Struthio camelus: one gene and its partner. The protein of the gene in region 1 interacts with the protein of each later gene in a biochemical or structural test. Links are inferred from orthologs where the notes say so. Each region holds a gene or a part of one and is shown in the gene's direction. Other genes may lie near its edges.

What was found. The genes of interacting proteins can lie anywhere in the genome.
Region 2: the proteins of NOTCH1 (region 1) and USP10 form a complex in vitro, tested with the Homo sapiens proteins (2 studies listed by BioGRID, with this or other methods). The link is inferred for Struthio camelus from reciprocal best matches to the Homo sapiens genes NOTCH1 and USP10.

What each region holds. Positions count from the first base shown.
Region 1 is NC_090961.1:3,758,933-3,765,840, reverse strand, and holds the start of NOTCH1 (neurogenic locus notch homolog protein 1), read left to right. Parts: upstream 1-3,870; 5' UTR 3,871-4,051; coding exon 4,052-4,109; intron 4,110-5,638; coding exon 5,639-5,720; intron 5,721-6,908. UniProt on the Homo sapiens protein: Functions as a receptor for membrane-bound ligands Jagged-1 (JAG1), Jagged-2 (JAG2) and Delta-1 (DLL1) to regulate cell-fate determination.
Region 2 is NC_090951.1:4,542,695-4,550,238, reverse strand, and holds the start of USP10 (ubiquitin carboxyl-terminal hydrolase 10), read left to right. Parts: upstream 1-4,484; 5' UTR 4,485-4,677; coding exon 4,678-4,698; intron 4,699-7,544. UniProt on the Homo sapiens protein: Hydrolase that can remove conjugated ubiquitin from target proteins such as p53/TP53, RPS2/us5, RPS3/us3, RPS10/eS10, BECN1, SNX3 and CFTR.

The sequences.
Region 1 (6,908 bases):
AAAAACGCCTGTTTTTATTTAAATAGCCTGGGGCAAATTTCTCACTAAACCAACTTTCCCACGCCAGCCCAGTGCTCTAACTCTGGTTTTTGGCAAATTTTTTCCTGAGCTGTCAAGGCAAAATATATATAAGAATGCTGGTCTCACTTAGGTTTTTTTCCAGCCCCTGGAGACATGAAAATAATTTACAGATGTGCATTACCTGTTTATATTTGTACTAAGTTTTGCTTAACGGACATAATTTTCTTAGCTTGCAGTAACAAAAAAATATTCCCAGAGTTTCACTCATTTAATTTCAACTTATTAAAACTTTTAAACATGTGTGGAGGTTTTATGTTTTTAAATCACTAATCACATGGACGTGTGCCAAGGTTTCTATTAGAAGCGTTCTTACGAACGCTATTTTTAAAAGTACCTAAAATCCCATGATTTTTAACCCCCAAAGACCACTCAAAATGAAAAGTTTCTCTGGAGTTATGTCCTATTTACCGCTTATTGAAAAAAGATTTATGCTGTCCGCTGCCTTTTGCTTCCCGCTCCTTTTTTTTCTTTTGCCTTTGAGCTGGCGGCAGCAGCATGTGCGGGGCGGGTGTGGAAGAAGGAAGGGTCCCCGCGAAGACGCGCCCACCGGCAGATAGGCCCCTTGGAAAAGGGCTCCCGCGGCGGCGCCGGCTCGCGGGAGGCGTCATCCTCGTGCCGAGACGCTCGTGCCCCCCCGCAGCACCTGGAGAGACCAGAGAGGGGTTTTTTTTTCCCCCGGAAGGGCACCATGGCCGAGGCTCCCGCTGCCTCCGCGGGCACCGATACGGCGCGGAGCATCCCGCCGCGCTTCGGGCCCGCTCCGTCGGCGGGCAGGCAGCGGGCACAGCCGGCCCCGCCGGGCCTGGGCAGCGCTCGAGCCGGGGGAAGAAGCGCCCGAGCGCGGCTAGGCCGAGCGCGCGGTGCTTTCTGCGCGCGGGGAACAAGCCCGGGCAAAGGCAGCGCAGGCATTTCCAGGCGGGTAGAGCAGAGATGCTCCCTGCTAGCTGGGCTGCAGCGTGCAAAAGGAAAGGGGTGAAGACGGAGGGGAAGGGAGCAGAAATCTTTTATCGCCCAATAAACCAGAGCGGTGGGAGCGTCAGGTTTTTCCTCCTGCGGCGGGGGCTGCAGGAGGCGGCAGCCCCGAGCCGGCGGCGCTGCAGAGCGAGGGCGACGCGGGCACGTCGCCGGCCGAGCAGAGCGGGGCAGCGCCCGGCCGCCGGCACCGGCTTCGTGGCTGCGCCCCGGCGGAGACGCCCCGGCCCCCAGCCTAGAGGGGCGCCGAGGCCAAACCCTTGGCTCCTGTTGCCTCTGTTACTTGCTCTCCAAAGGCTCCGTGGGGCCGGCTGACGGCCCGGCCCTTGCCCCGGCTTTGCAGGGAGGCAGCACAGCAAGCAGCGTGTCTCCGCGCCGCTTACGAGTTTCGTAGCGCGGCTCGGACGGCCAGCGTGGAGCGGCACCGCGCGGAGCCCCGGCCCCCGGCCCGCGTTCGGGCGCCGGCGCGAGCGGCGAGGAGAGCGAGGGCAAAGCGCGGCGGCAGAGCAATAGCGCTGTAGGGCTCGTTCCTTTGATCTAGCGAACAGACTCTGCCCTTCGGTTTGTTTAATTGTTTCACACTTGCTCTGGAAATAATTTACAACAGGAAGCAGCGGGATAACACCAGGCCTGGCATGGGCCGGGACAGGGGCCGGGATGAGCCCCCGGGCCGCGGGGAGAGGTGCCCTGTGATGAGAGACACAGATGACGGTGTCACCTCCCTCTCATTAACCCTTTGCGGGCCCCGTCTCTTCTCTTTCTTTTTCCCATGCTTTGCACCAAACGCAGGCCAGCTGGCCCCGCGCCCCCCCGCCCCGGCCCGCGTTTGACGGTATAACCGGGAGCTGTAAAAGAGCCATTTGACGGCCCAGAATAGCCACGGCTTAATCAGCAGGGTCCCAGGGCGCTGCCGCACCTGGGGGCCTGCGGCAAGCTGCCAGCGTCTCGCCTGGGGAGGGAGGCGGCGGCGGCGGCGGCTCCCGCACGGCGCTGCTGATGGCCTTTCCCAGGGTCCCCCGCTGTGATGAGGGTCCAAGGAGAGCCAGGAGCCCCATGGCATTTAGGTGCCGTGTTGCCCGTGGGAGTTAGCACCCCAAATTGTCTGTGCTCCAAGCTCTCGCCCCTGGGTTTTCCGCCCTTGCGCCTGCTGCGCGGCAGCTTTCCCGGCATTGCCAACAGGCCACTGCGGCGCTCAGCGGGGCAACGGCCTCCCGGCAAGGCTCGCCGCGAGCCGGCGAGCTGACCCCGCGGTAACCCCGCGAGGAAGCAGTTGTCATTAGCACCCCCACACCGGCTGTTTCCGCCGGTGTTGCTCCACGGCTGGTACAACGCCCCGCCAGCAAGGAAACCCCCCTATAAGCGTAGCCCTCGGGTAACATATGCAAACAGGAGTTTAAACGCTTAAGTCTGCGCTCGGGTTGCTAAAGTTAACGGCAATATGGTTTCAATTTGTTAAGTGCCGTGATGGAGCGGGAACGGCTCGGGCCGCGCTGGGGTGCTCGGGACGAACCGGGCCCCGCCAGCACGCCCGCAGCGGGGGCGTTCGCCTCGTGCCGTTCCCGCGCGCGGCGCCCGGCGGGGGACCAGGTCCCGGGGACCCGCCGCCAGCACCGCCACCATCGGGCAGGGGTCTGGGGAGGCCGGGGAGAGGCCGCGGGGGCCAGCACGCGGCGCTGGCCGCGCAGGAAGCCTGCGCGCGCCTGGGGGTTGCTGGGGCTGCCTCCGAGGTTTGGCTTCCCTGCCTCTGCTCATCTGTTTGTTTATTTGTTGATGCAGCGCGTCGGGCTGGCCAAGGCTTTGCCTGCAAGTTCATTAGTTCACGGCGCAAAATAAACAACATCATCCCCAAGCTGTGCGCGTAACCGTGCGTGCAGGTATGTTAATGGCTGCTAGGAAGTGGCTTGGCGTATCTGTGAACACCTGCCTCGGCGAAAGCCACGATGCCGGGGCGGAGGGGGCACCCCGGGCACTGGGAGAGCCCGACCCCGCACTGCGGGGTGCCCGGCTCGCCCTGGCCCAGGGCCCCGGGAGGAGATGCTCAGCCCCGTCCTGGTCCCCCAGAGCAAGCAGGGGTGCGGAGCCCCCCCAGCCCCATGTGCACGGCGCACGGAGCAGGCGCTGCAGCCCGCCGGGTCTGTGCCCCACGGCTGGTGCCAGGCTGCTGTGGGCTGAGGGGCTGAACTGGGGGAGGATGTGTGGGGCTCTGCAGGGCCTGTACCAGCCTTGAGCAAGGGCCTGTGCAGGGACTGCCGTGGGGCTGCCCCGGGACTGTGCGAGGGGTGCGGGCGGGCGGCACTGGGGTTATATGGGGCTGGTGGGCAGGTCTACTGGGGGTGTCCTAGGGCTGCGCTGGGACTGTGCAAGGCGTGCGTGGGGGGCTGCACTGGAGGCGTGTAGGGGCTGTTAGGGGGCTGCACTAGGGCTGCACGAGGACTCCACGGGAGCTGCATGAGTGGGCTGCGCTGGGGCTGGGGACGGGGCGGGGGGGCTGCACTGGTGTTGTGCAGGGGCTGCATGGGGGGGCTGCACTGGGGCTGGGGACGGGGGGGGGAGCTGCACTGGCGCTGTGCAAGGGCTGCGGGGGGGGGCTGCATGGGTGGGCTGCACTGGGGGTGTGCAGGGCTGCACTGGGGGCGCCCCGCGGCTGTGCGGGGGCTGCATTGGGGGGGGGGGGCTGCCCCGGGAGGACTCCCCCCCCCCCCTCCCCGCCAGGCGGGCGCGGGCGGGGCCGGGCCGTCCCGTGCCGTGCCGAGCCGTCCCGCCCCGCGCCGTCCCGCCCTCCCTCGCCCGGCCCGGCCCGGCCCGCCGGGGCAGAGCAGCCGCGGGAGGCGCCGGGCGCTGGAGTCGCTGCGCTCTGGGCGCTGGGGCGCGGTGTGTCTGGGGCTCCCGGCGGGGCGGCGCGCACCGGGCACGGCTCGGCACGGCCCGGCTCGGCACGGCCGGCCGGTGCCCCGCGGATCTATGCGGCTGTGAGCGGGCAGGAGCCCCGAGAGCAGGGATGCAGCGGCTCCTGGTGCCCGGTCTCCTGCTGGCGCTGCTGCCCGCCCTGACGCGAGGTGAGGGGCCGCCGGGACGCGCCGGGCCCCGCTGCCGCCCACCGGAGCGGGCTCGGCACGGCGGGGCTCGGCGGCGCGGGGCGGCTCGGGGCTCCGCCGGGAGGAAGTTTGCAGCGAGCGCGGGAGGAGGAGGAGGAGGAGGAGCGGCGGCGGCGGGAGAGCGGCTGCCGCCCCGCGGGGAGCCGCGGCCGGACGCGCCGCGACGGGGCTCCGCGCTCGGTTGTCCCGCGGGGAGCGGAGCTGGAGCGGCACCGGGCGGGGGGGGGACCCGGGCTGGGCGCCCCGGCGGAGGTGCGCGGCGGGCGGGGGGGTGCGCGGGGCGCCGAGCAGCGCTCCCCGCTGTTGTTCCGCGAGAGCTTTCGGCCGTTTTGCAAATTTTTTTTGCTCGGTTTCCTGTTTCTTGAAAGTCACCTGGCTGCCTCGCCGGTCCCCTTCGCCGCCCCCAGCACCCGGGGCGGCTCCGAGTGCCTCGCCGCAAACTGCGGGGGGACCTTGGGGGACGGCTCGCCGGGCCCGGGGACAAGGACCCTACAAATGGCGAGAGCCCCGGGGCCCTGCCGTGTCCCCGGGTCCCGGGCGAGGGGCTTCGGCCGGAGCCGGGTGTTGCGGGAGCCTCCCGGGGAGGGGGAGCAGCGGGGCCGGTGTCGCCCGGCTCCGCACCGGGGCGGCCCGGACGGGGGCCCCGGCCCCGCAGAGGCGCAGTCCGCAGGGAAAGGTGCGGGGTCGGAGCAGCCCCCGGCGAGACCCCGCGAGGGGACCCGGGCTGGACCCCGCGCCGGAGACGCGTGGGGCTCGGCAGCCCTTCGGGGAGAAGTTTGGGTCTTGGCTGGCGGGGTGCGAAGCTGAAATTGCTGCGGTCTGAAAGTGCTCCGGCTGCGCAGCAGTGTCACAGAACCGGTTGCCGTGAAATGCTCGCGGAGGAAGAGAAGGGGAAGAGCGAGCTTTGGTAGAAATCGGAAGCGATTCTGGTACTTTCAGTGAGTTGCTGTGGTAACTGTGCAGAATTTGGCTCTGAGGGCCAGACATTGAAACCTTTACTCACAGTAAGTTGTGACGAGCGACTCATTTCGTTACCGAGTTAGTGATAACTCACGGGCCCTCGGGTGTATGGTTTTTTCCCAAATGGCATTTGTCACTCAAGGGCCTGACCTGTTTTTTTTCTTCTCTGTCAGTCCTCCTGTTGGCCCCTGGGGAGGGTACCGAGAAGGCAGAGTCCTAGTCTCAAAACCCACCACGAGTTTATTTTTAGGCGAGCCTTTCCCTGCTGGGAGCTGGGGCCGCGCGGTTGCTGCCTGCCTCTGCAGCCCTGCTCTGCCTGGAGAGCAGCCGCCGGGTCCTGCTTTTCACCACGGTGGCCACCAGGCTTCGGCGGGTGCTGCTGGCGGCGGCAGGTCACCTTCGCTCCCGGGCTCGCCCTGCCCTGGCGGAGCGAGGGGCGCCCGGCAGCCCCGACGCGAGGGGGCCCAGCAGCCTCCCCCTCGTGCTGCCCGGTGCCTGCCCTGTGGCTAACGCTCTCCTCCTCTTTGCAGGTTTACGGTGTACGCAGCTTGCCGAATCCTGCCTCAACGGGGGCAAGTGTGAAACTTTCCTCAACGGGACTGAGGTGTGCCAGTAAGTATGGAGGAGCCAGAGGGTTTTCATCTCCCTAGACCGAAGTATTGACGTGCATGTTGACTTTGCTTTGAAGGCTCTGGATTTAATAGGGCAAGATGCATTTTCATTCCTTGAGTGGCAAGAATAACCTGCTTGTGTAGGAGTCGCCACAAGTTGGGCAGGATTGGGCTTTGTTCCTGGCTGGGTGGAAAAACATGGGCAAAGGGCCACGTTTTGCTGGTGTTACTTATCCAGACTGCCCTGCTGATGCTGATGGAGCAGAAGCGAGGCCCCGGCCTGCGGTGCTCGTTGGACGGCGGGAAGGGGAAGGAGGTGGTCTGTCTCCGAGTTACTCCGGGCCCAGCTCCCTTCTACCTCGAAGTGCTGCCTTTTGGTCCCTTGCACCCCAGCATTTCTTAGTCCATTGCACAGTTCTCGGGACATCTCCATACACGTTTCAGGGGTCATTTCTTGCACGGCGCAGCCTGGGGCTGTGCTCTGGGTGGGCCATCGGAAAGGCAGGAAAGCAGGGCCACCTTCTCCCTGTAACTCTGCTGAAGCTGGTGCCAAGCTGAGGATCGAGCCCTTCTTGCAGGATCTGGCACACATGAAGGAGCTTTCTCCAAGCTGATTGTGGGGAAACGGATGTGTAAAATGTTGGGACTCTTTGAAGGACCATCCGACCCACCGCAGCGATGGCCGATTCACTCCAGGCTCCCAGGGAACAATAACCGAGAGAAATGAATAAGACTCCAGCTCCCTTTTTAAAACTATTCCATAAAAGAGATCTGAATGGGCAAGACTCTGTTTTCCGGCCAGATTTCCCCTCCGCCTGTTAAACGTGCCCTAAGCTGAGAGCAGGCAGGGAAACGTTCCCACCCACCCCAAACTTCCAAATAGGAAGTTCTCTCTGGGGAGAAACCTGAAGGCATTTCCAATCCCAACCTGTTGAATGGCAGTTTTCCTTGACAATGTGTGTTGCTTTTTGCAAATCTGCCTGGGCGCCGTTACTCTACCCAGTAGCTGGGCACCTCCCACCCCTTTCCTCCAAGCTGAGCCCCCCAACCCTTTGGTGAAAATAAATCAGCAAATCAATCAGGCACATGAGCAATTTAATGGACAAAGGCTGGGTCCCTTTGTGAGCTACTAATGAATGCACGCCACTTTTTTTTGCACAGAAGCCCTTACCAACGCTTGACGCTCTAA
Region 2 (7,544 bases), on another chromosome or scaffold:
TTAACTTTTAGTACCTTTTCTGAGAAGCAGTTTAACTTGCAGAAAAAAGTCGAGATTCTAGTTGTGATTCTTAGGTTGCTGATATGTCTTAAGGAACCTCTGACCAGTCAGAAGTTTCTATCGAAAAAAGGGAAGCGTAACAAATGGAAAGCTTTGCTTTTTTTTTTTTTTTTATCATTTTATTTCAGTTTCTTGTAATAGTTCAGCTCTCTTCATCCAGCAGAATTTATAGACTTAGAACACTTCAGCAAGTAGATAGTGTCATCCTTACATCAGACGACAAGTGGAAAACGGGACGTAGTTTTTACACGGCTGATAGTCACAAAGATAGAAACGGACCTCAGGATTGCTGACTTCTTTTTCTTTTAACCTGTTAAACGTGGCTGCACTTAGTCCTTTTGATAAAAACCCTTTATGTGAGCAGTTTTAGCAGGAAAGAAGATGGAGTGGAAACTGAAATTAAGAATGACCTTCTGACCATTCCAAATTATTCTGTTCCTATGGTTTTAATGAGTGAAAAGCTAATTAAACCTTTACAAGCTCTGTTTTTGAGCTGTCTTTCAGACCACATAAGGCAGGTGCATCCCCCGTCCAGTTGGAGATGCACTGTTGCCATCCTGTGCAAGGTAGAGCATGCACAAGGCAAAGTCCCAGCTACGCAGGTTCCTTCTCCCTGCTGATGCACTATCAGATGGATGACAGACACACAGCCCAGGCGTGGGTTTGTTGATACCAAATCCATGTTACAGCATTGCATGGGCTCTTGCTGGGACTCACTACAGCTTTGGGAACAAAAATGTAGTTGTGTTTTTATCATGACGGTTTCAGCGATGAGTAACAAAATGGTGAATGGAAAGAATTTAGAGGTGAGATAAAGGTTCTTTTGAAACTGCAGCTCTAAAATAGACTGCATTGCATGAGAAGAGAGAAGGCTCATACTTAAGACAGGGAAGGATGAGATACAAATAATTCAGCCAAAAGGTCTGCATAGATAACTGAAACAGAATATATTGAGTCAAGCAGCCACACGATCTACTAAGGGCTTGTCTAGACTTGAAATTTCTTTCAGGCTCACTTGAACTATTTCACGTTTAAGTTCCTTGCATCAACAGATTAAGTATATTTGTTACAAATTATCAGAAAGTTTAAGAAGGAGGAGTTTGGAGCCCAGTTTGCTCGAGTGCTTTCCAGAATAAAACACCTCCTATTGGTGTCCTGTACTACTTTGCTGATTGCTTCTCCTTGTATAGCTTTTCTTGCCCTGGTGCTATCTCGGCTTCTCTTTCTAAACACAGGGATGCCTGTTGCTAACCTGTGCAATTTCAGGTCACAGAAAGTTCACAAATTTATGACTACTCAGCAAGCATGTTTCAGTAATCAGGTAAACCTCTGAAGTACGAGGTTTTGGATTAAGATTTATTGGGAAAGCCTCAGGACTGAATATCCAGCAGAATGCTATTCAGAACATCTAAGCACAGACATCTATCTGAAAAAGAGGTTTGACAACAAAGACCTACGCAAGCTCTACAAAGAAAGGAAAAGAGCTTCATCTGGGTTGTCCAAATTTTTTATTATAGCCATTAGCAGTAGGAAGGACCTCCATCAGCAGCAAGTTCTGTCCTTTCTGTCCCAGGTACTTCATATAATTCCTTTTGTATGCCTGTGGCCACTGTAAGGTAGCTAGATTTACCTCTGGCAAAGTTCATAGGGTCTCTGTGGACACGTTGGAGAGGGACTGTCACGGCTGTGTTTTACAGATTCTGCCAATGACATCTCTGTTGATATCGACTTAAGAGTAGGCTGGTTAAGAACTTGAAATACAAGAAGCCAACTGAACCGCCATCAGAAGCTCCTGTCTGAGGTCCAAGCAGGGGAGATGACTGCTTCTGATAAGTATTTTATGAGGGAAATGAAAAGAGCTTCCTTCCTAACACTATTTTGGTGCTACTGTGGGCATAGAGTATCACTATGCTCCCTTAGTCTCCTGCTGCTTTAAATAAATAATCTCTTTCTGAATGTTCTCTAAACGCGCAGCAGCCACCTTAGCTTTTTGTGTCTGGGTGCCCCCAACGCACAGTATAGCGTTGACTGGGCTTTTTCCTCCCAGTTGAATTCCATTACCAAAATGACTGGAGAAACAGCAAAGCCCTTATTGTACGTAGAAACTACCAGAATAAAAGTCTTCTAAAGCTCCTAGCACTGTGAAGAAGCTCTGCATAGACATTGATAAACCTTCCACAGTGATCAACCAGGTCTTGCAGCACTACAGGAAAATACTCGTTTCTGTCCCTGAAAGAGCAGATCAAAGCGGCCCATCAGTTGCTTCAGTTCAGGAACCTCAAATGTACAAACCCTTAACCCCTGGGTCAGTTTTATGCTGTAGCAAGGTCATGAGGAGTATGATATTGTAGGATAAGCTATTCCCAAGCTTTTTGCATTTATAGCAGAGTAAGAACAATTACCGTAGTTGTTATTGGGCGGCAACTGATTTGGAGTATTTTATTCAGCTCGCTGGCTAATGTAAAACAAGTCTTTCTGATTCCCAAAGATGTGACCCTCCACTGCTGTTAATCAAAATACAAAGTATTTAAGTGGTCACATGTTGTGAGTTAACATTATTTTACTCTCCCTTTACTCTCCCTTAAGAACGTGGATACACAGAAAGCAAAATAGACAACCACTATTTTTTAAAGTCTGAAAGGCAACATATTGTTTGTGAGTACCTGGCCACTGACATAAAGGATAGAAAAAAAGTAAAGCTGATTTGAGCAATGCAGTGACGAGTAATACAATGACACACCACCAGAAATGGCAAAAATGAATGGTAAGATAGAACTGAGGAGGAAACTTTCCGGCAGGTAAAAGTTCCTTCAAAGGATTCTATTATGATCAAACTTACATAACTTACAGTATTACAAGATATTGTGGTAAAAATTTAACAGACATTACAATGAAACTGTATTAAGGCAGGATAAAATTGAAGGTGTTATTAATTTTGCTCAACAGTTGCATCCTCTCTGCCCACACCCTAATTCTGGCCAGTCTGCTCCAGCTTTGAACAATATTGGTCCTTGAATTAACCTGTTTTCAGGTGGAAAGCACTCTGCTCATTTGTATTTTCAGCCATTTGCAGGGGCAACCTTTCCAGCAAACACAGTCAGTTTACTTAAGCAGGATTGTGGGCAGAAGGGAATTTTGCCTTCAGCCAGACGAGCTCTGTAAGGGTTTTTACTCCATTATTTACCTTGTAAATTAGACTCCTGTGGGCAGAGGGGGTTTCAGATGTAGGAAGTGCTTCACGTAAAATCCCCATGCATGTCTCCCTCTTTCTTTCCCCCCACCCCCTTTAAATACTAAACAGCTATTTTCACTGCTGGTTCTCTGCCTTAGGACAGAAGAGCAACAACGCTTGCTAGAACAAAAAGAAAGGGAGCGGAGCAGGGTGTGTCAACTGAAATGACAGAAACAGATACAGAAAATCATCTACTGTAGTTTCTTCCCATTACTGTCATGAGCACACATTAAGCGTTGCACTTATAAGAGGGAAATGTCTTTATCAAAAAATAAGGCAGGTGAAGTCTGCTTTCCATCTTCAGTGAACCTTCTCTCTCAGAAGCCACAATCACAGAGTTCCTGGGGAGCACGTTATTTCTTCTCTTCAACTTTCATAGTAAAGTTAAGCTTTTTATACCACTTGCTCCGCAGCTGAAGCGGTCTTTTGTGGGATCTAGTAGTTTTTTAAGAGGGGGAAAAAAAGGCGGAGTAAATTAGCGATTAGTTTAATGGCTTCTTGCCCGGGGATGGGAGCTTACAAGCAGGCAGTTGTGACTCAGTCCTCTCAAAAGCATAATATTGGCTTAGTCACTTTTTTCTTTGTTGTTTGCTTGTTTGTTTTCCAAATACAAATGCCTAATCCCTTATCGCTCTCGTTACTCGGGGCCAAGGCCTGCTGGCGTCTGAGGCTTTCCAACTCCGCAACGCGCGGCCCGCCGCCTCGAGGAAGCACGAGCTGAAACCCAGCCGAAGCCTGCGTGTCCCTAAAAACCCGAAAAGCCCTGTGCCCCTCCGCACAGGGCCCACCCGGAGGGCCGGCCGCATCCCCCCTCCCTTCCCCGGGCGAAGCCGCCCCGCTGCGCTCGGCGGGGGCGGCGCCGCCTCACGGCGCCCGGGCCCGCACCGCTCTGAGGCAGCCCCGCGCGCCGCTGGCGGGCGATGGCCGCTCGCCTCGTGGCCGACCCCGAGGGATGCCTGGGGCCGGAGGTGAAGTTTTTTTGGCTGCCTCGCCCTCCTTCGCGCCGCCGGGACCCCCCGAGCTGCCTGGTTTCTCCCCCCCCCCCCCCAACCCCCTTTTCCCGCCCCCGGCGGAGAGCGGCCCCACCCGCAGCTCCCGCCACCCCCCGCCGCCGGGCCCCTTCCTCGGGCCGCCCCGCCCCCGGCTCGGCCGCTACTGCGCCTGCGCGCCGCTGGCACCGCCGCCTCCCGCCCCTACCGCCCGGCCGACGCGCAGGCGCAAAGGCGCGCCGCCCCTCCCCTCCCCTCCCCGGCGGCGCTGTGCGCAGGCGCAGTGCTTGCCGCCTGCCCGCCCGGCTGGTGCGTGCGAGAGAGAAGATGGCGGCGGCGGGGGCAGCAGCGTGAGGCGCCTGGGAGACGCCGAGCTCCCCACTGAGGCGGGGCGCCATGGCTGTAAATAGCGCCCAGGTAGGCGCCGTCGCCGCGCTGCCGGGCCGGGGAGCCGCGGGGGGTCCTATCCGGCTCGGAGGGGCGGCCGGGCTCCGCGGCGCGGCTCGTCGGAGGAGGGGAGCGTGGTGGCCGGGACTAGGCCCCGGGTGATTCTGCAGCCTCATTGAATCCCGCCGGGGTGGGGGGCGCGGCGGCCGCGGGGCCCGGCCGGGGGGGCCTGGCCTGGGCGCTCCGCTGAGCCGCCGCGGGGCGGCGAAGGCGCGGAGGAGGCGCTGGTGCCCTGTGCGGGATGCAGGCGGTGCTGTTCCCCCATCCGCGCCGTTGCAAGGGGGGGGGGGGTTGGGAGCTACTCAGTAGGTCGGGCTTTTGGGGGGTAGGGGAGAGGGAGCGATGGGGGAGAGTCTACAACGGGAAAGAAATAAGGGGATTAGTAAGTTAATCCTCCCCCTCACCACTTCTCCCTCCCGCCCCCTGAACCTCGATGCATTGGGGTGCAAAGGACTGAGCGCTGCGAGGTCGTTATGCGTGGGGATGGGCGTGCAATTCCCCCCTCTCCCACTGACCAAACCGACCAGAAGGATTATGCATGGAATAACAAAATCTGCAGCCCAGGTAGCTTTTTACTGGAAGCTGAAAGCTCGAGTCTTGGGTCTAATCTAGTTTATGCATAAAGCAAATGGTTGAATGGATCAAGTTTGCTGTTTTCTTTTTGTAAGGGTGTTCCCCCTCCTCCCCCCAAGAAAGACTTTAAAGCAAAAATTTCTGGCAATTATAAGTGCTGTACTGGGGTGTGCATTTGCAAAACTTTGTAAAACTTTCCTTTCTGCGAGTAAGGGAGTTCAGAAAACTTAAAGCATGTTAAGTATAATTTTACTAAAGAACAGTATACTACTTTTTTGGAAAAAGTCTTTCATAAATTTTTTAAGTTTTTCTAACATTATGCTATATTATCCTCTGTTTTTTTTTTTTTTTCCTGAAGGCTGACTAAGGTACCCATCTGTGTTAAAACTGTACACTAGTGGTACTGACTGTGTTTTTTCTTTACAGCAAAGTTTAAAGTTGGTAAAAACTATCATGGTATTTATTATCAAGGATTTTTTTTAAGAGCTCTTGTATTTTGATATATGTGTCTTGAGGACAGTTACAGTTTTTGGAGTTTTTTAAACTTTAGTGTGCACGGCTGTGATGATAAAACTTTGTGTTCTTAAACTTTTCTTTCAAAGTGGAGGAATCTCACTCTGGTTCTAGTACATTGATTGACTTACCTAATGAATGGTAATTAGAATGCAGCGTATATCAAAAGGAGTGTGGAGGAGATTCAGTGTCCAACTTAGAAGCTGTTTCACTCTGCGTTATCCTCCTCTTGAATACTAGACAGCAAAATACTAGACAGCAGTGCACGTAGTCAGTTTGATAAGACTGTAGGTTTTTCATTACAACTTTTTTTATTGATTTAGAACAATAAAGGGCATTTTTGTGTCTGAACTTAATAAAAAGTACAGCAACTTAATGTTGAAACACTGCAGTCATAATTAAAAATAGACTATAGATTCATCTTTTTTCTTCCTCTAGTTCTGATTTTTTGTCAAGTGAAAATCTTTGGGTCTGGTCCTTTGTAGTTACTTGCTGTCAGTACTGTAGTGTAGATCAAACTACTCTGTAAGTAAAGCAGATATTTAAGTCTGGAGGGTTGCTGCTTAAATTTATGTATAATTGAGGAAACGAATCTGTATGGTATTTTTCAGCTAATGCAGTCTTCATGTCATTAAACACAACCCCTTGTGCTTTTTTTTTCTAATGTATTATAAACAGTTGATGTAAATGCTGCTTCATATTTATGTGAGCACATATTCTAGAGCAACACGGTGCAGTAATGCTGGAGTAAGGTAACAGTATTGTGTACTTTTTTGGATGGAGGACATGAAGATGAGTTTAGGGAGGTAGTTTTGCATGTAGGTGTTTCCTTTTAATTTTAAGATGACAGTATTGAAGATTGGTAGAAAAGTTTGAGAGAGAATTTTGATAAAAGTCATACATTCTAAGCACAAAGCTAAATAACATTACTTAGTCATTGTGTTCATGTCATAATGTGGAGTCCTAGGCAAAAGTATTTAAAATGTCTCAGTTATGGCAAACTTTGTCACATGGGGGAGAAATGTCTTCTAGAACATCCTGCTCTTCTAAATATTATAAAATGTGCCATCAGGCTTCTGCCAATTAACGGATTCATGTAGTGGTATGCAGAAGTATTCTATAAATCAGCCTGCGTACTCTTCACAAGTGAATCGTGAAACATGACCATATTGGATATTTTGAAAGGAGGATTCATTTTAGATGGCAGCTATTCAGAAGGCACACCAGCATATTTTAATACAGTTTAGATATGCTGGTCATTTGTACCTCTGTATTCCATGCAGGTATTTCATAATCATTTAATCAGATTCTTAAGTGTTGCTCTCAGTCTTCTGGGTGTGTTCTGAGGATATTTAAAATCTGTAAGATCATTTTTATTAAGACAAGCTGAAAGTAAACCTGTTGTATCACTGCTGGTTCTGTATGACAATACAGATATTGAGCTGATTTGACACTGAATATAATTAAAACCATTTTTCGAAGAGGACATTTAAAAATCCTTCTTTAAAAAAAAAGGAAGATTTAACGAATATTTCCCTGTTTGGAAATAGTAGTGCTCTGTAGGAACCTTATGAACAGTTGTTTCAGTCACTTTCTTATCCTTTTTAATGGAATGAATTACTGCAAACACTTCATTTGTAAATCTTCTGAAAACAAGTTAAACAGAAGAAAGGATACCAAAGCAGACAGAATCACTTATGCTTGTTTTGTTCTTTAACCCTTAGTCTGGT